Macaca mulatta: one gene and its partners. The protein of the gene in region 1 interacts with the protein of each later gene in a pairwise test. Links are inferred from orthologs where the notes say so. Each region holds a gene or a part of one and is shown in the gene's direction. Other genes may lie near its edges. The genes, in order: PPFIA1, PTPRF, TXLNA, DTNB, PTPRD, PTPRS and CCNH.

Region 1 (3,500 bases):
GTCAAGGGAACAGAGCCAAATGAAAGAACGCCTGGCTTCCCTCTCCAGTCACGTGTCAGAGCTGGAAGAGGATCTGGACACTGCTAGAAAAGATCTCATCAAATCTGAAGAAATGAACACAAAATTGCAACGAGATGTCCGTGAAGTGAGCAATAACAAAAATTACAGGCTTGTCATGAAGTTGAATGTTTGGGAGGTTTTATTTAATGATTTTTTTTCTCCTTTTGTCCCTTGCTCTCCCAATTACTTTCAACCTTTGTATTATTATATAAGTTATATTGAAAAAGAAAGAGTGCTGTGAAACTGCGATAAGATACCTCCCCATTTTTGTTGTGAAATCTCCTGTCCCTGAGCGCTTCAAAATAGAGGAGAACTAGTACCACTGACTGATGTGGCCATGGAGTGGACGCCACACCAGCCCCTCCTACCTGTGCTGCTTTGATATTCTTTAATGTCCTTGTTTGTAGATTCTTCATCTGTGCAATTTCTAGGCTGTCTTAATTTGTTCTTATGTTCAGCAAGCAGACGTTGATCCTGGCTGTGCTAGTTCACGTAGGGCGATGTGACTATAGTCTGTTAACTGTGGGAAGGGGCGTTGCTGGTGGTCTTCTCGTTTTCTGACCTCCTCCTTCAAGGAACTCGTGGCATTGAATATTGATGGTCAGACAAATAATCAAGAGTGGAATTTGCTTCTACGTGGGTCATCAGGATCGTATAGTAAAAATATGTCGCAGTATACTCATTGCTGACAAGTATTTCTGCCATTATCACTATGAGAAACTATTTGATCATGGAACAGTGAGGCTGAGTTCTTTCTCAGGTGCCCTTCCTGTCACTTCCTAACCTGCGCTTTGTCCCTTGTCAGGCGCCTCAACCGTGGAACGTCTGCTTTTCAGTGTGATAGTTTGGCATGAGTAATTTCATGTAGGAATTCGCCACAGGAAGAGCATGTGTGTGTGCTGTGTCACCTGCTAGGTTCTATTCTTTGGCTATAGCGGGAGATTATGTGGCAGAGATTAACATGCTGAGAATTTTGAAATTCTTTTAAGACCTATCACTTTTATTTTTTATTTTTTATTTTAACTTTTAAGTTTGGGGTACATGCTTAGGTCTGTTACGTAGGTAAACTTGTGTCCTGGGGGTTTGTTGTACAGATTATTTCATCATCCAGGTACCAAGCCTAGTACCCATTCGTTATTTTTCCTGATCCTCTTCTTCCTCCTACCCTCCAGTGTGTGTTGTTCCCCTCTGTGCGTCCCTGTGTTCTCATCATTTAGCTCCCACTTATAAGTGAGAACATGAGGTATGTTGTTTTTCTGTTCCTGTGTTTGCTAAAGATAGTGGCCGCCAGCTCCATCCATGTCTCTGCAAAGGACATGATCTCATTCTGTTTTATGGCTTCATAGTATTCCATGTTGTATATGTACCACATTTTCCTGATCCAGTCCACTACTGATGGGCATTTAGGTTGATTCCATGTCTTTGCTATTGTGAATAGTGCTACAGTGAACATACACATACATGTGTCTATATAATAGAACGATTTATATTCCTTTGGGTATATACCCAGTAATGAGATTTCTGGGTTGGTATTTCCATCTTTAGGTCTTTGAGGAATCTCCACACTGCCTTCCACAATGGTTGAACTAATTTACACTCCCACCAACAGTAGGAAAACATTCCTTTCTGTCCACAACCTCACCAGCATCTGTTACTGACTTTTCCATAATAGCCTTTCTGACTGGTGTGAGATCCTGTGTCATTGTGGTTTTGATTTGCATTTCTCTAATCAGTGATGTTGAGCTTTTTTCCCCTATGACTTTTAGTAGTCACTTTTAATAGTTATCACTTCGCTAACCTTGGTCATTTTATAAATAGGGAACAACTTGAAAATAGTGAATTCTGGGGGTGGAGGACAGGTATTTCACAAGCAAAAAGTTCTGGTCCTAGCCTTAAGTGTTTGATACTGTTTAGTAATCATCTTGCAGACTTCAGGTAGTTGCGTCCAATTAAATTGAACTTGTACTTCTGTTTCCATTTGTCAATATGCCTGAATCTTGTAATTGTATGAGATTTCATCTAACCCTTATCCTAGAAAGTGAGACTTGTATCTCACTACTGTATCCATTGAGAGAGGCCACACCCTGTCCTGTGTAAGACCATTTGTAGCGTGAGGCAGACATAGACTGCGTCGTCTTTGAGGTCACTTTCACCTCCTTGAAAAATATTTAGATATTTGAGTGTATATATGTTTATAATATTATGTAGAAATGGGAAAACTTGGTCAACTGAGTGGCTAGACATAGTATTAAGAGAGACAAGTCTTTGTTAATCGTATAGGTGAATATGATATTTGAGGTAGTTACATTTTCATTCACATTTGAGAAAATTGACGTCGTCTTCAATTTAATTTTGAGGACACTATTTTTTTTTTTTTTTGAGACAGAATCTCTCTCTGTTACCCAGGCTGGAGTGCAGTGGTGCCATCATAGCTCACTGCAGCCTTGAACTGCCGGACTCGAGCAATCCTCCTGCCTCAGCCTCCCAAGTACCTGGGACTACAGGGGCATGCCACCATGCGTGGCTAATTTTTGTTTCTTTAAAATTTTTTTGGCCAGGGATGCTGGCTCACGTCTGTAATCCTAACACTTTGGGAGGCCAAAGGAAGGCCAAGGAGGATCTCTTGAGCCCAGAAATTCAAGACCAGCCTGAGCGACATAGTAAGACCTCTATCTCTACAAAAAATTAAAAATTAGTGGATATAGTGGTATGCGCTTGTAGTCCCAGCTACTGGGAAGATTGAGGTGGAAGGATCCCTTGAGCCTGGGAAGTCAAGGCTGTGGTGAGCCCTGATTGCACCACAGCATTCCAGCCTAGGTGATAGAGGGAGACTGTGTCTCAAAAAATAAAATACAATATTTTTGTAGAGACAAGGTCTTGAACTCCTGGCCTCAAGCCATCCTCCCATCTTAGCGTCCCAATGTACTGTGATTATAGGAGTGAGCTGCTGTATCTGGCCTGAAGATGCTAATTTTTAATTTGATTGGAAATTTGGGATTTAGTTCAGTTTTTTTCTCTCTTAAGTATCTTAATGTGTAATCTGTTAATTACGTGCTTTTTTGTCCCCTCTGAAATACTAATTTAGGCCATGGCCCAAAAGGAAGACATGGAAGAGAGAATCACTACTCTTGAAAAACGCTACCTCGCTGCACAGCGTGAAGCCACATCTGTGCATGACCTCAATGATAAACTTGAAAATGAAATTGCAAATAAAGATTCTATGCATCGACAGGTAATGGATTTTATCGATCTTTGTCTGGCTTCAGTTAATTATTAATGAAATTAAAGACCCTTTTTCTCTCACTTTCATGTTGGAAATCAAGTCCAAATGTCAAGTTTTTATGACCTTAGAATATTATGTTCAAGATATGTGGGAGTTCCTTCAGTTTACAGGTTTTGATAACGTAGGATTTGATTTAACCATTTTGTCCTCAATTTTT
Region 2 (3,222 bases), on another chromosome or scaffold:
GACCCTGCAGTAATGCCTTCCCACCTTCTTTCTTATCCGCAGGTGTCCCCGGGAGTGACTACATCAATGCCAACTACATCGATGGCTACCGCAAGCAGAATGCCTACATTGCCACACAGGGCCCCCTGCCCGAGACCATGGGCGATTTCTGGAGAATGGTGTGGGAACAGCGCACAGCCACTGTGGTCATGATGACACGGCTGGAGGAGAAGTCCCGGGTGAGGCTGCAGGGCCCTGCCAGGAGGCGGGCGGGAAATGCCCGGCCACAAGGTGATACAGGGCACCTTCTTCAGTGCCGCGTTCTTCTGTGGAGGAAGTCGCTCAAGGGATCCCCAGATGCTATTATGTTTCTGGGGGTATTATGCTCCGCAGATACTGGGGTGTTTCTGGGATAAAGCGTGTTCCCCAGATGCTCGTGGGTTCCTTAGGATGCTAATATGTTTCACCAAATGCTGTCATTTTCTGAGAATATTAATGTGTTCCCCAGTTGCTGGCATGCTCCCGGGGTGTTCACATGTTCCCCAGATGCTGGAGTGTTCCTGGGGCATTAACACATCTCCTAAGTTAATTAATGGAAAGAGCCGCTGTTATCTGTTTTTGGACTGCAAAGCATTGACTGGAACGTAAAATTTACAGAGCTTGAAAATGGCACATAAATGTTATGGATAAATTTGGCAGAAAATGTGCCTGGTGCGATCTGGCCTTGAATAAATAATTTTCAATTATGGCCCTTATTCCACTAGCTAGGGCAGTGTGGTGACATAGCTTGAGGACCTGATGTGACTTGTGGAGGACAGGGGGCAATGGGTCTGAGAGCTCAGGGCTGGGGGGCCTTTGTAGCCAGAAAGGCTACAGCCAGGGAGCAGACCAGCCTCCACCCTGCTTCTGCCCATCTGAGCCTGTGGGCTTCCTTCAGCCTGCCCTGCTCATCCCCCTGCAGGTAAAATGTGATCAGTACTGGCCCGCCCGTGGCACCGAAACCTATGGCCTTATTCAGGTGACCCTGTTGGACACAGTGGAGCTGGCCACATATACTGTGCGCACCTTCGCACTCCACAAGGTATAGCCCTTCCCCAGTGCTTCTCTCTTACCCAGACACCATAAGGACAGTAGCCTGGCGTAGATGTGGTGTGCCGGGTTGGGGGAAAACCGGAACCTGGGTGTTGGAGGGTTAGAGGCTCAGGTGTGTGAGTGTGGTGTGATGATCCATGTTACAGGAACAGTGCTAGGAGCTCCTTCAGGCTACTCTCTGTGACTTCTGAGTCCCATCAGAGAGTGGCGGGTCTGGCCTCAGCAACAGGTCATTCTGCCCTGAGTCTGGCAGGCAGGCTCCTAGTTGCCAATATGTCCCCACTTTGTCCCCCAGAGTGGCTCCAGTGAGAAGCGTGAGCTGCGTCAGTTCCAGTTCATGGCCTGGCCAGACCATGGAGTTCCTGAGTACCCAACTCCCATCCTGGCCTTCCTGCGACGGGTCAAGGCCTGCAACCCCCTAGACGCAGGGCCCATGGTGGTGCACTGCAGGTGAGAGGGTACAGTGCCACCCAGAGGGGTGGGGTGGGAGGTGGGGGCACCTGTGCCTCAAACTGAGCCTGTGTCCTGCAGTGCGGGTGTGGGCCGCACCGGCTGCTTCATCGTGATTGATGCCATGCTGGAGCGGATGAAGCACGAGAAGACGGTGGACATCTATGGCCACGTGACCTGCATGCGATCACAGAGGAACTACATGGTGCAGACGGAGGACCAGTATGTGTTCATCCACGAGGCACTGCTGGAGGCTGCCACGTGCGGCCACACAGAGGTGCCTGCCCGAAACCTCTATGCCCACATCCAGAAGCTGGGCCAAGTGCCTCCAGGGGAGAGTGTGACCGCCATGGAGCTTGAGTTCAAGGTGGGGCTCGGTGGGGGCCTGCTTGGCTCCAGGGCCTAGACTGGGACATGCGGATGACCCGCACTCCCACAGGAAGCCTGGCCTGACCAACCCCTCTCTCTTAATAGTTGCTGGCCAGCTCCAAGGCCCACACGTCCCGCTTCATCAGCGCCAACCTGCCCTGCAACAAGTTCAAGAACCGGCTGGTGAACATCATGCCCTATGAATTGACGCGTGTGTGTCTGCAGCCCATCCGTGGCGTGGAGGGCTCTGACTACATCAATGCCAGCTTCCTGGATGGTTATAGGTCAGCGTGCTTGTCACTGCCCCACCATGCCCTACAGGGGCCTAGGCCTGTGACTGGCTGGTGGGGGTGGGCAGCCTAGAAGACCAGAGAGGGCTGGGTAGAGCAGTGAGGACTTCCTGGAGGAGGGATGATCAGAGCAGGGCCCCAAGGGGCTAGGCAGCCTAAGGGGAGACTCTGGGGGCAGCAGCACCTCCAGCATGTCCAGTCTTATGTCCACCCCAGACAGCAGAAGGCCTACATAGCTACACAGGGGCCTCTGGCAGAGAGCACCGAGGACTTCTGGCGCATGCTATGGGAGCACAATTCCACCATCATCGTCATGCTGACCAAGCTTCGGGAGATGGGAAGGGTGAGCCCACCCTTTTCCCCAGGGCCCCTGTCATACCTGGGAGAACACCAGCCACCCTTGGGGGAGCTGCCGCCTATGTTACTGTCTCCTTTCACACCCCAGCTGCTGCGTCAGCATAGCCTCAGGCCCCCGTTATTATCCACCTGAGGCATCTGTCCCAGAATCCTGTGAAGCCTGGCACCCCTCCTCCATTCCTTCTCACCTGATCATGGGGGCCCGGCCCTCTGTCCACAGGAAAAATGCCACCAGTACTGGCCAGCAGAGCGCTCTGCTCGCTACCAGTACTTTGTTGTTGACCCGATGGCTGAGTACAACATGCCCCAGTATATCCTGCGTGAGTTCAAGGTCACGGATGCCCGGGTGAGTGAGTGCGCTGAACGTCCGTAACGCTGCCTATCCACATGTGGGGCGGGTGGCTGCCGTAGCTCAAGCTTCAGGAATCTGAGGCAGGGGGTGGGTATTAGGGTGTGAGCACATCTCCCCCAGTGGCCTTGGGTGCAGTGACACAGAAGCATGCCTGTGTCATGGTACTACCCCGGTCTGGTCCAGAGGGGTGGCAGCCTAAGGCACAAATCCTAATCATGTCCCCCACCCACCTTTCCCAGGATGGGCAGTCAAGGACAATCCGGCAGTTCCAGTTCACAGACTGGCCAGAGCAGGGCGTGCCCAAGACAGGCGAGGGCTTCATTGACTTCATCG
Region 3 (3,500 bases), on another chromosome or scaffold:
AGGCTCCCTGACTCAGGCACAGGCAATGGGGAACGGGCAGTGACAGTTATTTTACAGCAGGGTATGTATGTTTGAGAGTCTAGGCCGGGCGCCGTGGCTCACGCCTGTAATTGCAGCACTTGGGGAGGCCGAGGCGGATGGATCACCTGAGGGTCAGGAGATCGAGAACAGCCTGGCCAACATGATGAAACCCTGTCTCTACTAAAAATACAAAAATTAGCTGGGCATGGTGGCACACGCCTGTAATCCCAGCTACTTGGGAGGCTGAGGCAGGAGAATGGCTTGAACTCCGGAGGCAGAGGTTACAGTGAGCCAAGATCGTGCCACTACACTCCAGCCTGGGCAACAAGAGTGAAACTCCGTCTCAAAAAAAAAAAAAAGAATCTAGAGTCTAACTCGGGTGTCATTATGTCCATGTTTTATTCCTATTTCCCTCTCCCCTTTTGTATCATCCTACTTTAAAGAAGAACTTTAAAAAATCTTATGGCCGGGCATGGTGGCTCATGCCTGTAATCCCAGCACTTTGGGAGGCTGAGGCGGGTGGATCATGAGGTCAGGAGTTCGAGACCATCCTGGCTTACACGGTGAAACCTCGTCTCTACTAAAAATACAAAAAAGTAGCCGAGCGTGGTGGCGGGCACCTGTAGTCCCAGCTACTCGGGAGGCTGAGGCAGGAGAATGGCGTGAACCCGGGAGGTGGAGTTTGTAGTGACACAAGATCGCACCACTGCATACCAGCCTGGGTGACAGAGCGAGGCTCTCTCAAAAAAAAAAAAAAATCTTAGGGACGGCTAGGCACAGTGGCTCACACCTGTAACCCCAGCACTTTGGGAGGCCAAGGCGGGCAGATCATGAGGTCAGGAGTTCGAGACCAGCCTGGCCAACATGGTGAAACCCCATTTCTACTAAAGATAAAAAAAACTAGCTGGGCATGGTGGCATGTGCCTGTAATCCCAGCTACTCAGGAGGCTGAGGCAGGAGAATCACTTGAACTCAGGAGGCAGAGGTTGCAGTGAGCTGAGATCATGCCATTGCACTCCAGCCTGGGTGACAGGGTGAGACTCCGTCTCAAAAAAAAAAAAAGAAAAAATCTTAGGGTCACATATATGGAAAGTATCTTCATTTTTTTTTTTTTTTAGTTCATTTATTTTTTTAGAGGGGGGTCTCGCTCTGTCACCAAGCTGGAGTGCGGTGGCACGATCTCCGCCTCCCTGCAACCTCTGCCTGCCAGGTTCAAGTGATTCTCCTACCTCAGTTTCCTGAGTAACTGGGACTACAGGCACCCCCTACCACGCCTTGCTAATTTTTTTGTGTGTATTTTTAGTAGAGACGGGGTTTCATCATGTTAGCATGGTCTCGATCTCTTGACCTCATGATCCACCTCGGCCTCCCAAAATGCTGGGATTACAGGCGTGAGCCACCGCACCTGGCCGAAAGTATCTTCATTTTAAAGTTCACTGTTTGGCTACTCTGTTGACAAGAGTTTAGTATTTCTCAAGGAGGCTAAGACATCTGTTCCTTTTTGGATCCTACCTCTATCAGGAGGGTGAGCCTTCCTTGCATTGAAACTGTATGAAACAGTAGCCCTGAATTCATAAGTGGGAAATCTTTCGTCTGTTGGTAGAGCAGGCAGTTTTTTTACCCTGCCAGTGGTGTCCACTAAGGAGATTTCAGTAGGGTACAGTCGTTCATTTGATAAGCATTTGTTGAACATATTCTCTGTGATGGTACTATGGACGATACTGGGGCTACAGTGAGGGCAGGATTGAGTTGGTCCCTATATTAAGGAAGGAGCTAATTAACGAGCAAAATATAAAGTGTGATGGGGAGGGCTATCTTCAGCACTCATGATGAGTGTGAGCCCAGGCCTGGAGGGGACCCCTGGAGAAGGGAGTACATGTCTTTGCTCCTGTGCTTTGCAGGGAAGGAGATCACGTTGCTGATGCAGACATTGAATACTCTGAGTACCCCAGAGGAGAAGCTGGCCGCTCTGTGCAAGAAGTATGCTGAACTGGTCAGTTCCCCCCTCCGCGGGCACCTTCCCTGCCTTGGGAAAATCAGCATGCCACCTGGTATAGGGTTGGGGGTGCAGAGGCAGGTAGGTGGCTTAATTTCTGTTCAGCTTTCTCTGAAATATCTGTTAAATGGGGAATCACTCTCAGCGAGCCTCTTCAGGGCTGTGCAGCAAGAGTTTGAGAAACTGCATATTCCTTGAAAGAAATTTCTCAAAGAATGATTCCAAGGTGGTAGAGCCCTTGTTCCTGGCCTGAGTCCAAGACACCTTGTGATCTTGATGCATCTTCCTCAAATACAGATGCATAGAGCCATTATCACAGTAAATAAAACTAATGCTAGTCACTTGATACTTTTTCCTTTTACTTCAGAGCAGTCTTCTTGTCACTGCCTCCTCATATTCCCCATGACATTGACTTTTTACAGAAACCAGACTGGCTGTCCTGTAGGATGCCCCCTTCTAGCTTTGTCATCTGTGGTAGCATTTTACTTCTTTACCTCCTAGTGCCTGTAAGTGAAGTAGAAGTTAGCTCTAAAGCTTGATCCAATTCAGCTTCAAGTTTTTGACAAGAATTCTTCATAAGTAGTACTCTGTACTTCATGTTCCATCGCAATAAATGCAAAGCATACTCTTCCCACTCTGTTGTAACATTGTTCAGTGGGTTGAGGGTGGGGCAGCCAGATTCTTCCATCATCAGGTCCCCTGTCAGAATTTGAACTAACAGATTTATCTATTGATGGTCACAGCCTAAGTATGTATGTATGTATGTATGTATTTATTTTGAGATGGAGTCTCACTCTGTTGCCCAGGCTGGAGTGCAGTGGCACGATCTCGGCTCACTACAAGCTCCACCTCCCGGGTTCACGCCATTCTCCTGCCTCAGCCTCCGAAGTAACTGGGACTGCAAGCACCCGCCACCATGCCCAGCTATTTTTTTTTTTTTTTTTTTTTTTAGTAGAGACAGGCTTTCACCGTGTTAGCCAGGATGGTCTCAATCTCCTGACCTCGTGATCTGCCTGCCTCGGCCTCCCAAAGTGCTGGGATTACAGGCGTGAGCCACCGCACCCAGCCTATTTATTTATTTATTTAGAGATGGAGTCTTGCTCTGTCACCAGGCTAGAGTGCAGTGGCATGGTCTTGACTCACTGCAACCTCCACCTCCCAGGTTCAAGCGGTTCTCCTGCTGCAGCCTCCCGAGTAGCTGGAATTACAGGCGCACGCCACCACGCCTGGCTAAATTTTGTATATTTCAGTAGAGACAGGGTTGACCATGTTGGCCAGGATGGTCTCAATCTCTTGACCTCGTGATCTGCCCGTCTCGGCCTCCCAAAGTGCTGGGATACAGGCGTGAGCTACTGCGCCCAGCCTCTTAAGTATTTATGTTAAAATTAATTCATTCCACACACATTTATTAATATTTTCCTGTAGGGAACTTTACTCATCTGTAAAATGGGGAATGTCATACCTGCCTAATGACATTCTTGTA
Region 4 (3,500 bases), on another chromosome or scaffold:
GTAGGGTATGGTGTGTCCAGCCTGTCCACCTGTTCAGGGCCAATTCTGTTTGTATGTGGGGTTTCTGAGCTAGCTCCCCAGAAGGATAACTATCTTCATTTGAACTCACTCTCACACTTTGGCTTATATTTTTTCCAGTTTTGCTTCCACAGAAAACCCTAGTCCACCTGTCACACTCAGTTCATGTTGTGCTGAAGAGCTCCAGAGCCCACATCTCAGTGAGCAGCCCTTGATTCGTTTTCTCCTTTTATTTATTTTATCCCATTGCTCCAAACTTTCTCCACAACTGTACCAGGGCCTCCCAAGGAAAGCTCAGTTTCTGTTTACTACGTGTCCTTTTCACCTCGTCCCTGCGGGATGGCCCCAGACAGCCTCGCTGTGTGTGTGCAGTGCGTGTGGCGTGACTGGCCCGATGGCCCCGCTTGCAGCCTGCAGCCAAGCTCCCCACATGCTCAGAGCATGCCCTGGGGGAGTGGGGGCGCACCCTGCAGAGTGCACACTGCCACTCTTGGAGTCAAGGGGTTCTTCCCGTGCCTCCCACTGGCAAGCTGTGTTGCCTGACACAATGCTTGCTTTTCCTTCTATAAAATGGATATAAAAATATACACCCTGGCTAGGTGTGGTGGCTCACACCTGTAATCCTAGCACTTTGGGAGGCCAAGGCAAGCAGATTGCCTGAACTCAGGAGTTAAAGACCAACCTGGGCAACATGTTGAAACTCAGTGTCTACTAAAAATACAAAAAATTAGCCCAGCATGGTGGTGCACGCTTGTAGTCCCAGCTACTCGGGAGGCTGAAGCAGGAGAATCTCTTGAACCTGGGAGGCGGAGGTTACAGTGAGCTGAGATTGCACCACTGCACTCCACCTGGGCAACAAAGCAAGACTCTGTCTCCAAAAAAGAAGCATATACATATATAAATATATACATACACACACACACACACACACGTATGTCCTTTCCACTCACAGGTTGCCGGGGGTGGGTGGGGTGGTCCAAATGAGAACGTGTGCATGAATGTGTTTGCAAACAAAATGAAAGCTGTTTGCATGTTACTTCCTGCCCCGCTAGCCAAGCCCTTCTAGAGCCCTGGCCCAGCTATATGCTCACCCTGTCTTCCTGAGAGTCCTCCACCACTCTGTGCCAGCCTCTTCTTTCCCTCCCATTCTTGGTCTCTTCTTATGATGTTCTTTCTTCCTGCCCTGCACGACCCCTTCCTTTTTTCCTTTTCTTCCTCTCTCCAGTCTTGGAAGCAGCCTGACTCCTTCCTTTCAAGTATGATCTTGTACCACTGAACTGAGGCCCGGTTGACGGAGAAAAAGTACTTTCTTTCTTCCTCAAAGAGGTCAGGTACTTGAGATAACATATTTTCTCTCTTTGAATCTCCAGGCTCAGGCCACAGGGTCACCACATACATCGCCCACCCATGGAGGCGGCCGGCCGATGCCCATGCCAGTGCGCTCCACGTCTGCCGGCTCCACCCCCACCCACTGTCCGCAGGACTCACTGAGCGGAGTTGGGGGAGACGTGCAGGAGGCCTTTGCACAAGGTGAGTTTCTGGAGCAGAGTTCAGCAGGGAGCTGAAGGGATCTGCAAACATGGACAAGATTCCTGCTGAGGTTTTTCCATTTCTCTTTTGTGCTCTTGGCTTGAATGATCAGATTTTGACAGACAGTGTAAATAAGTCAGGTGCTGGCCCCTTCTCATGAGACTGGCTGGTCTCCAGCAGGAGAGCTGCAGGCTTCCGATGTGTGCCAAGAATGGGCCTCCTGGGGTTCTCTGCCCTTTTTTCTGGATTATGGGAAGTGCTTTGTCCTTTGAGCTTCGTCTCCTCCAGAGGAATTGGATGGAATAATTCCCTGGCCTAGAAGGGACTGTAACAGGCACTGTAACTGGGACCGTGCTGACAGCATAGTGTGCACGCCATTGCCACAGTCATCGGAGGAGCTGGTGACCAGCAGTATTAAGTAGTTGGGTGGGGATTCAGAGGGAAGTCCTGCTGGGGCTGGAGGTGAGAAGGGGAGGTGGTGGTGGTGGTTGTGGAGAGTAGAGCCCCGCCCCCACAAGGCTGAGGAAGACCTCGGTGGAATGCTTATTCTGGAACCCAGCTCTGGATTGTGTGGTGATGGCAAAGCGTGGAATTGACAGGATGCTGCTCCCTAGGTAGAGAGGGCAGAGGGAGAGGGACCAGTGGGCTGGTGCCTCCTGCCCCCAGTGTGGCTGGGAGTGGGTGGAGCTGCTGCAGCCCCATCTCCCCTTAGGTATTCCACACCTGTGTCCTCCGGCCTGGCAGAATAGAGGCGTTTGCTCAGCCGTCTCTTCTCCATGCTCACCCCCACTGGCATCCCCATCTGCTCTGCCTCTCCTCAGGTACGAGGAGAAACCTCCGCAATGACCTGCTGGTGGCAGCTGACTCCATCACCAACACCATGTCATCCCTGGTGAAGGAGCTCCATTCAGGTGAAACCCAGAGCTCCCACCTGGCTTCCCGGCCTCCCCTGCCTCGCCCACGCCCTTCTCACTTCCTCGCCAGCTCTGGCAGAACCTCACCACCCAGCTCGCACCACCCCATTTCACCACCCAACTTTGCCTTCTAGGAACACATTGGATGTCTCCGCCCAGAGAGCCTCTGTCACACAGGATTGCATAGGGGCGGTTTCACATTCAGGCTATCTCAGGAGTGCATCTTGTGGAGCAAGCTGAACTTGGAGAAATTCAGACCTTTCAGTGCAGGCAGGCCCCCTTCCTACTTACCCCGTCTTCTATCTGTGCTTTGTCCACAGCCGCTCTCTCCCTAGGCCTGACCGACCGCCTCATTCTGAAGCTTCCCTGGAAGTCTGGAGCCGAATCAGCCAGGAAAGCTCTGGACCTTCCCCTGCTGCCTTTCTGCTCTCTCCTGTTTGATTTGGTTTTGAAGCCTATTCCCTCCTTTTGTCCATGACCAGGCTCTGATTTCACCTGAAGTTCATGACCTGAGTCTGTCGCCTCTTCCACTCCTCGTGCTCAGCTCATCTGTGACTTCTTTCTCAGTCTCTCCATCACCTCGCCACATCAGTGACTTCCCAAAGACCTTTACCTTACATAAAACCCAGGAAAGAGAGAGAAAATTAAAGGCCATTCACATATCATCCTATCTCCAGGAATCCCCATGACTCTGCCAGTTACTTAGGGGCCAGAGAGTCACTAACGATTTCACAGCAGTGGGGTTTCCGTGTTTTCTGTTAAACTAATGGTTTCCCTTCCTAAGTGCTGTAGGTCACTCACACTGATGGTTCTCTTTTGTTTCTTTCCACCTAATGTAGTGCTTTTAAATACCTTGAAGTAGCTTAACAGGGCTATTAAATAAAAAGATAAAGCAGTTTTTCCACGGGCCATTCAAACACATAGATTTATTCAAACACTCTTAGGGAAGGCAAGCCTTGGGTATTTTTCAGCCCTTCGTAGGAGAAAGCTCACATGTTTCGGGTTGTCATGGGACTGGACAGAGCCCCCAGCTCTGCT
Region 5 (3,500 bases), on another chromosome or scaffold:
GAAATGTTTAGTGTTTTGATTGCCATGGAAAACTGTATTTTAAATAGTAACGTGAGTTGTCCTTGAGACAAGAATGAATTATAAGGATACATTCATATGTTCTCATGAAGTAATAAAAATGATTAAATTTTGAGCTTATGAATGGCTATGCCTTTCCACTCAACTAGAATGAAGTACTTCCGCTTCCCGAGAGTTCTTAAAGCCAGTTCCTGTAGTTATTTTTGTCTAGTGGAAGTGTTCTTATTCTTGGTCTACATATCTGTGAATAACCACGAAGGCATGGGTGGGGGTGGGATTAAATTAAAGACTGAGAGGGCTTTAAGTTACAATAGGATGGGTTCCCTTAAGAAAATACCTAGCTTGATTTTGAAATTTTTGTTAGAGGTAATTTTGTTTCCCTGGGGATGTTTTTCTCTCCTTTCTTTTTATGGAGTCTGGGGTGGGGAAATATGAAGAAAGCCGTTTCTTCTCTAAATTCTTTGAAAGTCCCTTGATCCTTTTTCCACAATAGTGACCTCCCTTGCTGCATGAGGCATGTGTACCTTCTTCCATGGAAAATTTCAAAATGATGCTAGCTATTGTTTCTAATACCATGGTAGTCTGTGAGATATTGCTAACTTTTCCAGCTGAGGTAGAAAGGATGAACTAGAGCGAATAAAGATGTTCAAGTAGCAGTTGAAAGCCTTGATATGGCCTTTTTACTCTCTCTGTGTTTCCCTTGTTTTTCTCCTTTCCTCATTTCATTGTGTTCTGCATCAAACCCCCTACATCCCTCAGAGCTGCGAGAAGGTTGGTGTGTTTTTTACTTTTTACCCACCTTACAAAACTATTAATTAAACCAATAACAAAGAATACAAATGAAATGAATGTAGCTGCATTGTGTTCTTCTTTTGGTTAATGGTATGTTTTAGCAGAGAATGCCCTGGCCATGGCTTCTGGTGCTTGCTGGTGATATCTAACTGTGGTGCATGATGGGAGAGAATGTACCTGGGTGCATGGTAACTGGTAACACTTAACTCTCTAAAGTCCAGTTAACTTGGTCAGTGTTCCTGCTTTCCTTCCTGCTCCACTCTCCCCGTGTCCCACCCCGCCTTTAATTTCTGTCTTATAAGGATGCCTGCTGCCCATAGAATGACTTTTTCTAGTTTCTCCCCTAATCCCAAGCATGAAGACTAAACTCTCCTCCATTTTTCTTGATATGTTCTTTGATACCTCAGAGTCTACACTGGCTCCTGCTTGCTTTGTGTAACTTCTGTGAATTGACTGCAGGAGGCATGCTTAGCTTTCTCTTCTTCTCCCATGACTGTCATTCACCCATGAGGCCATTGCAGTGAGCCATCTCAAATCAGCGGAGGTTTATCTTGACTTAAGTGCAGCCAAAAAGTTTTCAGACAGAATTACTTATCTTCTTCTTGGGGTTATGAGGTTATTTATCAGTTTATTTATAATTTTTAAAATCACTTTATTAAATGTATTTAAGGTGTGCTCCTAAAGATTACCCTCTAGAGCTCAAATTCTTATGGTATGACGTTTTGCCAGTAAAAGCCCCAGATGAAACCAATTTCTCTCTCACCTTCTCCTTGTATCACATCCAAAACACATTTACTTAAACACACACAAACCTGCAAATTATCTGAAGCAGGAACACTGAACTTTAATTGCTTGGTAATTTTTCTGTGTTATGTTGCTTTAATATGATCTCTTCTCTTAATGTCATGTCCTGCTGTATGTTTTCCCAATGTCTCTCAATTTGAATGTGGGCATAAAAAGCCTTTTAAAAGATTTTGTTGTCATTTATGTTGTTTTACCTTAGATATGAATTGAATGGAATCCTGTATGTGAAACACCCATCTCTTTTTCTGAATTTGAAATCTTTACCTTTAACAACTTGAGCCTAATCTATCTTTCAACCCTATCATCCCCTACATCTCTGTATTTCAATCATTATACTTTACCTCCCCCTTTCGTGTTTATTTCTATTGCCCCGTTACTACTTCTGCTGTCATTGCTGTCTTGGATTCCAGCCATTCTTTCAATATCCTTAGCACGGGCCTTGAGATTCCATCTTGTGCATGCCTTGCATGACCCAATCCAGTATCTCTACTGGTGTTAGCCTGTTTCTTCTTCTGTGACTGCAAATCAATATGTATATACATTTCTGTGTTTGTTCCAGTGTTAGTGTGAGGTCTTGAGGCTGCATCCACTATGAATCTGAAAACATAAAGTGCACTTTCAGTGTACTGTAGGTGATGTTTTCCAGGGCTGGGATGTGACAGTGTGGTCCCACACCTACATTCACATCAACTGGAAGTGCACAGCACTGAAGTTGGTTTTGATAGTCAACTTAAACATGCTGGTGACCTTCCAGCTCCCTTTTCTGCATATACATGCCTGCATAGAATCATTGTTATATGCCTGCATGTATATGTTTTTGTGTTTATCTTATGCATGATGTTTGTGTATTGTTAGTTTGTAGATAGTTTTTTGTGGGGCCCTTGTAGGTCTGAATCAACTTTTGTATGAGTGTGTCTAAGATATCAATGACTAAACTAAATAATTCTGTGTATACACACACCATACTTGTATGGTCTGTATTATCCACAGTTTTTCTTTATGTTTTGTTTTTGGACAATCCACAATATGTTTCAATTGTTGAATCGTGTCTGTACGGTGCATGTCATGTGTTTAATAATCCACTTTTTCTTGCCTTGTATATGTTATCATTTCCCTTGTGTTTTGTTCCAGTTCGCCGTGTCCCACCAAGATTCTCTATCCCACCCACTAATCATGAAATCATGCCAGGTGGAAGCGTTAATATCACCTGTGTGGCCGTGGGGTCACCAATGCCTTATGTAAAGTGGATGTTGGGGGCAGAAGATCTGACACCTGAAGATGATATGCCAATAGGAAGAAATGTGCTAGAACTGAATGATGTAAGACAGTCAGCAAATTACACCTGTGTTGCTATGTCGACACTGGGTGTCATTGAAGCAATAGCACAGATCACTGTCAAAGGTATGCTCAATGGATCATGCTTTGAGGATCTGGGTACGCTTAAGCCAAGTGATTAATGCCTCTAGGAAGCCCATCCTTGAAAATCGAAAATAATTCATTATTCAGAGTTTTAAATGTGTGTATAACCTAATCATATCTGTGGTATTATATAAGATGCATAAGCTTAGATAGGCGGATTTTTTCTTGGAAGTATCTGGCAGCCTATGTGGAGATAATCATCAAAATATTAAAAGACAGTTCATGGAGGCCCAGGCACTAACCAGACAGAACTAGGAATTTTAGACATGGTCAACCATTATGGTGGGACTGATGTGTACAGTCTACATACTAGAACAGAACCTTGATAAGAACCCCAAGAAAAGTCAATATGAGCATTAATAAATGCTTAAAATTTCTAAATACAAAGGAAAAAGAAGAAAAAAGTTGAAATCAACATAGTCTAATAATAGATGATTTAACTTTTTGGCAGGCCCTACTGTTAGAAA
Region 6 (3,500 bases), on another chromosome or scaffold:
TGTCCTCTTTGTGCTTGCTGTGCTTCAGAAGAGCGAGCCTGTAAGTCCTGAATGGTGTCTGCCAGACACACCTCTGAATGAGGCAGACCCCATTTCCCAGGGCCTTGACCTCAAAACCAGAGGCAGATCCTCTGTGGTCAGTCACAGGCAGCTCTCTGTGGCCAGGGCTGGGCAGTGGGGAAGACTTGGGAGTGGAGGGATCCTGAAACGAAGGTTTCTTAAGAGGAAGAGACCTTCCAAGGTCTGGGGCGTTGCGGGGTGAGTAGGAGTTCAAAAAGAGAAAGCATCCCAGGATTTGCATGTGCAAAGATCTAGGAGGTACAGAAAGGATTTCAGAGTGGCTGGAGCAGAGAAGGGAACGGGGAGAGCAAAGACTGGCAGGGACCAGGTCATATGGGCCACGAGGGTCAAGGTTCTAGGAATATAGGAGGATCTAAAGCAGGGGAGAAACATGGGTTTGTGTTTGAGAAAGACCCATCTGGCCACTGCAAGGACGGTGGACACTGATGGAGACCCCCCCCCCTTTCCCTGCAGACCTTTGCAGCCAGTCCCTTCTCAGACCCCTTCCAGCTGGATAACCCGGACCCCCAGCCCATCGTGGATGGCGAGGAGGGGCTTATCTGGGTGATTGGGCCTGTGCTGGCCGTGGTCTTCATAATCTGCATTGTCATTGCTATCCTGCTCTACAAGAAGTAAGCCGCATGTCCTCCCTGACTTGACAGCAGAGAGGGCTTCCTGGAAAAGGAGGGAGGACTTGTCTCAGAGAATCATCACTAAGGGTCTCTGTTGTACACATGGGGAAATCGAAATTCAGAGAGGTTAAGCCACTTGATCAAGGTCACACAGCATGGGAATGGCAGAGCTAGGGCTCAAAGCAGGCCAGTGGCTTGGCTTCTCCTGTTAACCCCTATCTTCACCTCCGCAAGATGATTTGGGGTAGAGGCTGCCTGCGTCCAAGTTCAATGAGGATAGCAGTTGTAGTGGCCCCATGGGGCATGTCCCAGCTTAGAAAGGGAGGGCTGAGATAAGCCTCCTTGTGGTATCAATAGGCAGGGGGACAAACAAGAAAGAGGAACGCCATTTTCCAGAGGAGACCAAAGCTCAGGGAGGTTAAGGAAGCCACTGAGAGTCACAGAACAAGTCCTTTGTGGCCAACACACCCTCACCTTTCTTTTTTTCCCCCCTTCTCACCTGTGTCTGCTTTCGGGAACAGCAAACCTGACAGGTAAGAACCAGCCCTGCCCCCTGGAGGCTTCAGGCAAGAGGAAGAGGACAGGGAATGGGTTGATACTGTGCCCACGGGAGAGGGGATGTCTGGCTGCCCCCACAGCTTGTACATGTATCTGTACTTGGTCCTGGAAACCCCAGTCATATGGGTATACAGTCCTTTTCCGACCATACATTCCTGGGGCCTGAATTGTATTCACACATGAACATGTCCCAGTACTAACTGGACTGTTCTGCTTGCTTCTCCTAAAGTAAACGCAAGGACTCAGAACCTCGCACCAAATGCCTCCTGAACAATGCTGACCTCGCCCCTCACCACCCCAAGGACCCTGTAGAAATGAGACGCATTAACTTCCAGACTCCAGGTATGTACTTATCCCTGGTACCAGGGATACCGCCAACAGGGGAGATAGCTGGTGAGAAGCAGTAGCTGCCACCTTGGGGGACCCTCATTGGCCCCCTCTGAACTACGCTTGGTGCAGCCACATTCTTGATTCCCAAATACCTCCCACCCTACGTGGATCCGGGCTTGGAACTCATAGGTTGGTTCTGCTTACAACCAAGTGAGACTTTTTAAGTTAACATTTAACTGATGGCTGCTCTCCTCTTCAGGAGCCTAAAGATGATGTTTAAAAATAAAAAACGGAGAAAACACAAAACTACCCCTCATTTCTTTGGGCAGAAAGAGCTGTTCTTCTGTTTATCTCTCTAGTTTTAATGTTCCTCAGTGGTGAGAGTTAAGGTTTGCCTTCAGCCATTTTCCACACTCCCTTGGGATATATCCCTAGCAAGGTACAGAAATTATACCTGCCCCACGCCTTGTACCTCTTCCCACCATGGCTGCTGGGGCTCATGCCTCTTTACAGTTCCCTATAAAGTCACCTGCCAGTCAAGGAGAACTGAATCAAGGTTTTATCCTTGATCATTTCCGTGTATGATTTACAAACTCCACCATCAACCCCTTCTTCATGGGCTCATGCCAGCTGCTTCTAACCAAGTAAGAAATTTTTCATTTTACTGATGGCTGCTATTCTCCTTACGGGTTCACAGCCTGGTTACATCTGTCCTTCCAACTGTACCGGTCTCCACTTCCTATCTCTGAACTGGTTCATATCAACTCTATTTTCCAACCAAACGGAGATTTTAAACATTTGTATTTAACTGATGTCTTTAGTCCTCCTTAAAGCCTCATGCACAGCCTCACATGCCATTCTTGATATACTTTCTTCTTTTTGCCTCTGGACTGGCTTGTGTCACTTCTGTTTTCATCCAAATGAGGAGTTTGACCATTCGTATTTAACTGATGACTGCCGTCCTCATAAAGGGATCATGCAGGGCCTCATGTATCACCCCTCGTGTATTCTCTTCCCTTTCTTACCTCTGTACTGATTCATGTTGCTTTGGTTTTTCAGCCAAATGAGGATTTTAAATGTGCATGTAACTGATGGCTGCAAGTCTCCTAAAGGGATCATGAAGAGTTTCATAATTCACTGCCAATGTGTTCCCGTTTCATTTCTGTCTCTGGACTAGCTTATGTCTGTTCTGTTTCCATCCAAATAAGGATTTTCAACATGTGCATTTAACTGATGGCTGCTGTCCTCCTTGAAGCTCATGGCATGGGCCCATATGTCCTTTCCCTGCTCCCCCAGCTTCTCCTTCACCATCCTGCATCCTCCTTCCTCAGAATGCCCTCTGCTGACCTCAACAGAGGGGACCCAAGGCCAGGCTGGTCTGGGGGAGGGGATTTGTAGACAGAAGAACCTAGCACTTTGGAGTCCTTCCAGAGTGACGGGTCAAGACCAGGACTGACTGGCGTCCAGCCAGAGGGGTACACAGTTAGCAGCTATCGTGAGTCCACAGGTGGGGGCCCAGGTGGCTATGCGTCCCCCACGTTGTCCGCATTGCTCTGCCCTTTGCATCCGCCAGCCAGTGAGGGGTGGGGGAGGCAGAGGTGGAACCCCCCAACCCCCTGCATGTTTTCATTTATTTATTGTTTGCTGTTTGCAGATTCAGGCCTCAGGAGCCCCCTCAGGGAGCCGGGGTTTCACTTTGAAAGTTAGTTTCTGCGTCTGTTTTTGGCTTCCTTTCGCCCCCCTGTTCGTTTCCTCTTTGGTTTCTCCATCCTGCCTCCTGTCTCTGTCCACGCGCCCACCCACCGCCGGCCCTTGCCCACCTGTCCTGTGCTGGCTCCTGGAAGAGGGCAGGGGGTTGGTCCACTGGGCCCTTAGGTGGCTGTGTGTTACTGCTGTGTGTGTGGTGTGTATGTGTGTGTC
Region 7 (3,500 bases), on another chromosome or scaffold:
CTGCTTCTGCCATTCAGTTGGCAGCAGTGATCACAAATCATGGGAATGGATACAAAACAATGTCACAAATATGTAGTGGCTTTAGAGAGAAGGCTTATTGCCTTGCTCATTATTTTTATAAGATTGGTTAATCTGTGAACATTTGTATTTTTCTTCCTGAATTTATCTAATTCAGGACATTTTTGATACTCTGACTTCTAAAACATACACACTCACGTATTTTTAAATCCAGTGACCATAGGAAGGATTAGCCAGGGTAGGCTAGGGATAGACAAGCAAAGGATGGGAAAGGATCTTTTGGCTATGGCATTTCTGTAGTAATTCATCACAATTTATTTTGATTAAAGAAGAATTAATGAGTATTAGTATTTTTCTGGGTAATCTCTACAAAGAAACCTTTCCATAAATAAGTTCTGTTTCACACAATTTAACATTTAACATTTGTGAATAGATCCTGATGATATATTTTTTTTTTAACCCTTAGGGTACAGCTTGTATGTATTTCAAACGTTTTTATCTTAATAACTCAGTAATGGAATATCACCCCAGGATAATAATGTGAGTATGTCTGTCTAATATATTGTTTTCATTTAAGAAGACCTTTATACTCTTTTGAGTTTTTTGGGGAGGAGAGAGTTGAGGGTAATTTAGACTTGAATTCTGTTTTTTTTTTTTTTTTTTTTAATTCAGAACTTAAGATCTCTATTTACCTGTACTTCGGTAATTCTGATGGCATCTGAACTTCAACTTGTCCAGATTCAAATTTTGTTTTTCTCAAATTAGCTACTTCTCTAACATCTCTATTTGACACCTTTGTTCTTCCAGTTGTTCAGACTGAGAATCATTTGTAGTGGCCCCTCCCACATCTAGTCAGTTTACGGATCCTATAGCTTCCTACTCATTTCAGTTGAACAAAGGTCTGTTGTTGCTGCTCTCTGCTGAGCACTGCGTCTATCATTAAAGATGAAATTAGTATGAGACTCATCAAAGAGCTTGCTCTCAATGACATTGTACCTGTTTTCTCTTTTTGATTCCCATTTCCACCAGTCAAGATTAGGCCCTTGATCTCACTGCCAACCTTGATTTTTGCAGTAGCTTTCTTACTGTTTTCTCATACTGAACAGCATGAATTGGCCAGGTGAATTTCACACATTTGTCCCTTAAATAATAGTCTCTTATTCAGATGCCCTTAGAGACTTCCACCGATGGCCTTCCACAATGTTCCTTTAACCTACTTTTCTTCCCATACTTATATGGTACATATGTGCTTTATTTTTAACTATTCCATCTACGTTATACAAAGTGCTCTTATTCCTCAGTTAATTTGTTTTTCCAGATATTTAGGTTGTACTACATAACACTGTCATTGAGTCAGTGATGTTTGAATGCCATGGCAATATTGGTTTGACCTATTTATAGTTTGTCTTATGTCTCTTAATGAAGTGTGAACAGGAACTATCTTTAAAAAAAAAAATTCTTGCAATGTCTAGCAGTCACTTTTGAATATTAGGCAATTATAGAATATACTTTTAGAAATAAAATATTTAGATACTTCTCAAAGTATATGCATGTTCTTCTGCCCCACCCCAACCCCGCCCCCTGCCGCTTCATTTTTTCCTCTAGGCTCACTTGTGCATTTTTGGCCTGCAAAGTAGATGAATTCAATGTATCTAGTCCTCAGTTTGTTGGAAACCTTCGGGAGAGTCCTCTTGGACAGGAGAAGGCACTTGAACAGATACTGGAATATGAACTACTTCTTATACAGCAACTTAATTTCCACCTTATTGTCCACAATCCTTACAGACCATTTGAGGGCTTCCTCATCGACTTAAAGGTAAATTTGATATAAAATAAACTAATACTACATTCTCCTTTCCTATTCTTTAACAAAAAGAATCCAAAATTTTAAAACTCATAGTCATCCTCATTGTTAGAGCATGGATACGACCTGTGGGTCTGGCCTGGTCATCTAGGGCAGTTGTGTTTAAACTTCAGTGGGCATCATCAGTCATCTGGAGAAATTGTTAACTCAGATGGTTGGGTGGGACTTATGGAGTTTCTCATTTAAGTGATCTTCATTACGTCCAGGGATGTAATGAAGACCATTGAGAGTTTAGAACGGTGCTTATTATGGAGGCTTAAGATACCTCTTCTAACTTTGAATTATATTGTCATGGATCTGGGCCTGATTTAAACCATAAAAAATTCTTAAACTAGAAGATTGCTAAGTGACTTATATTTTTAGAGGTTTGTGAACTTGAGTCTCTATGTAGGCATCAATAATATAAGTAAACAAACATTGACAGAAGTAACTTTTAAGTTGTTTTGTTTGGCTCTAAAAGAGAAGTTGGATAGTCAAAGTTGAATCAAACAGAAATCAGGAACTGGTTCATTCATATTAGATCAGTGGCTCAATTTGGGTATCTTCTGTGTGCCAAACTTTGTGCTTGAGGATGTAACCAGAAACAGGACAGGAACAGTCTCAACTTTTGTGAACCTTGCAATCTAAAGGTTTTAGAATATATATCTCCCTCTAAAATATATTTTCCCCTCTGTATTATTGAGCACAATGGATAACAGATTAAGAGCTAAGGAAAACATTCTGAGAACGTATCATTTAAAGTACAATTCAGAGTAGGAATAGGAGAGAGAAGAACATTCCAATCAGAGACTTCCCTGGTAAAAAGGTCAAATTCAAGAAACCATTCTGTGCTAAACAACCTGAACAGAGCCTAGCAATGCAGGGGGAAGAGATCACAGACAGCTGCTGCCAGAGTGGAAGGCAGAGTCTAGACTGTAGAGACAATGTTACGGATTTTGAATAGAGCAAAGAGAAACCAGTGAAAGGTTTAAATTTAGAGAGTGGCATGATTAGATTTGCAATTTTAAAAGATCATGTTGGCAACCTTATGGATCAGGTATTTACTGTGCATCTGTATATGTCAGGCATAACGTGGAGAATGGATTAGAATAGATTAAGTGAATAACGGGGTACTGTTAAAGGAGTCCAAGCTAAGGATGGTGGTGGTCTTCACTCGTATGAAGGTTGTGGATACAGAAAGAGCTTCCTGGGCTTCAGAGATATAGGATAAGTATCCCTTATCTAAAAAATTTTGGGCCAAAAGTATTTGAGATTTCACTTTTTTTTTTTTTTTTTTTCCCGATTTTGCAATATTTGCATTGTGATTACTGGTTGAGCATCCCAAATCCAAAATCTGAAATGCTCCAGTGAGAATTTCCTGAGTGTCATGTCAGTGCTCAGAAAGTTTCAGATTTCGGAGTATTTCGGATTTTGAATTTTTTGGATTTATGCTCAGCCTGTAGTTAGGTAGAATCAATAGAACATGAGGATTGATTGTATATAGAGATGAGGACAGAGGAAGAACCCCCAAGTTTCTGACTGGGTGATACTTTTTTTTGTTTTTTGTTTTATGGAAGAGACCGATGCACATTTAAATACTGATGCAAAGAGCTAGTAGTGAGAGAAAGATGAAATACAA

Evidence for each region.
Region 2: the proteins of PPFIA1 (region 1) and PTPRF interact in a two-hybrid assay, tested with the Homo sapiens proteins (2 studies listed by BioGRID). The link is inferred for Macaca mulatta from reciprocal best matches to the Homo sapiens genes PPFIA1 and PTPRF.
Region 3: the proteins of PPFIA1 (region 1) and TXLNA interact in binary tests that used the Homo sapiens proteins (3 or more experiments, as listed by UniProt). The link is inferred for Macaca mulatta from reciprocal best matches to the Homo sapiens genes PPFIA1 and TXLNA.
Region 4: the proteins of PPFIA1 (region 1) and DTNB interact in binary tests that used the Homo sapiens proteins (3 or more experiments, as listed by UniProt). The link is inferred for Macaca mulatta from reciprocal best matches to the Homo sapiens genes PPFIA1 and DTNB.
Region 5: the proteins of PPFIA1 (region 1) and PTPRD interact in a two-hybrid assay, tested with the Homo sapiens proteins (2 studies listed by BioGRID). The link is inferred for Macaca mulatta from reciprocal best matches to the Homo sapiens genes PPFIA1 and PTPRD.
Region 6: the proteins of PPFIA1 (region 1) and PTPRS interact in a two-hybrid assay, tested with the Homo sapiens proteins (2 studies listed by BioGRID). The link is inferred for Macaca mulatta from reciprocal best matches to the Homo sapiens genes PPFIA1 and PTPRS.
Region 7: the proteins of PPFIA1 (region 1) and CCNH interact in binary tests that used the Homo sapiens proteins (3 or more experiments, as listed by UniProt). The link is inferred for Macaca mulatta from reciprocal best matches to the Homo sapiens genes PPFIA1 and CCNH.

The regions. Positions count from the first base shown.
Region 1 is NC_133419.1:4,338,351-4,341,850, reverse strand, and holds part of PPFIA1 (liprin-alpha-1), read left to right. Parts: coding exon 1-145; intron 146-3,145; coding exon 3,146-3,292; intron 3,293-3,500. UniProt on the Homo sapiens protein: May regulate the disassembly of focal adhesions. May localize receptor-like tyrosine phosphatases type 2A at specific sites on the plasma membrane, possibly regulating their interaction with the extracellular environment and their association with substrates.
Region 2 is NC_133406.1:197,047,432-197,050,653, reverse strand, and holds part of PTPRF (receptor-type tyrosine-protein phosphatase F), read left to right. Parts: intron 1-42; coding exon 43-218; intron 219-940; coding exon 941-1,060; intron 1,061-1,366; coding exon 1,367-1,521; intron 1,522-1,602; coding exon 1,603-1,888; intron 1,889-1,995; coding exon 1,996-2,174; intron 2,175-2,396; coding exon 2,397-2,523; intron 2,524-2,757; coding exon 2,758-2,883; intron 2,884-3,128; coding exon 3,129-3,222. UniProt on the Homo sapiens protein: Possible cell adhesion receptor. It possesses an intrinsic protein tyrosine phosphatase activity (PTPase) and dephosphorylates EPHA2 regulating its activity.
Region 3 is NC_133406.1:208,699,024-208,702,523, reverse strand, and holds part of TXLNA (alpha-taxilin), read left to right. Parts: intron 1-1,922; coding exon 1,923-2,098; intron 2,099-3,500. UniProt on the Homo sapiens protein: May be involved in intracellular vesicle traffic and potentially in calcium-dependent exocytosis in neuroendocrine cells.
Region 4 is NC_133418.1:99,619,193-99,622,692, forward strand, and holds part of DTNB (dystrobrevin beta), read left to right. Parts: intron 1-1,388; coding exon 1,389-1,548; intron 1,549-2,369; coding exon 2,370-2,459; intron 2,460-2,596; coding exon of another isoform or gene 2,597-2,649; exon of another isoform or gene 2,650-2,782; coding exon of another isoform or gene 2,783-2,940; exon of another isoform or gene 2,941-3,379; intron 3,380-3,500.
Region 5 is NC_133420.1:90,798,380-90,801,879, forward strand, and holds part of PTPRD (receptor-type tyrosine-protein phosphatase delta), read left to right. Parts: intron 1-2,745; coding exon 2,746-3,015; intron 3,016-3,500.
Region 6 is NC_133424.1:6,072,868-6,076,367, reverse strand, and holds part of PTPRS (receptor-type tyrosine-protein phosphatase S), read left to right. Parts: coding exon 1-40; intron 41-534; coding exon 535-692; intron 693-1,213; coding exon 1,214-1,225; intron 1,226-1,479; coding exon 1,480-1,592; intron 1,593-3,234; coding exon 3,235-3,282; intron 3,283-3,500. UniProt on the Homo sapiens protein: Cell surface receptor that binds to glycosaminoglycans, including chondroitin sulfate proteoglycans and heparan sulfate proteoglycan.
Region 7 is NC_133411.1:93,783,012-93,786,511, reverse strand, and holds part of CCNH (cyclin-H), read left to right. Parts: intron 1-484; coding exon 485-558; intron 559-1,623; coding exon 1,624-1,834; intron 1,835-3,500. UniProt on the Homo sapiens protein: Regulates CDK7, the catalytic subunit of the CDK-activating kinase (CAK) enzymatic complex. CAK activates the cyclin-associated kinases CDK1, CDK2, CDK4 and CDK6 by threonine phosphorylation.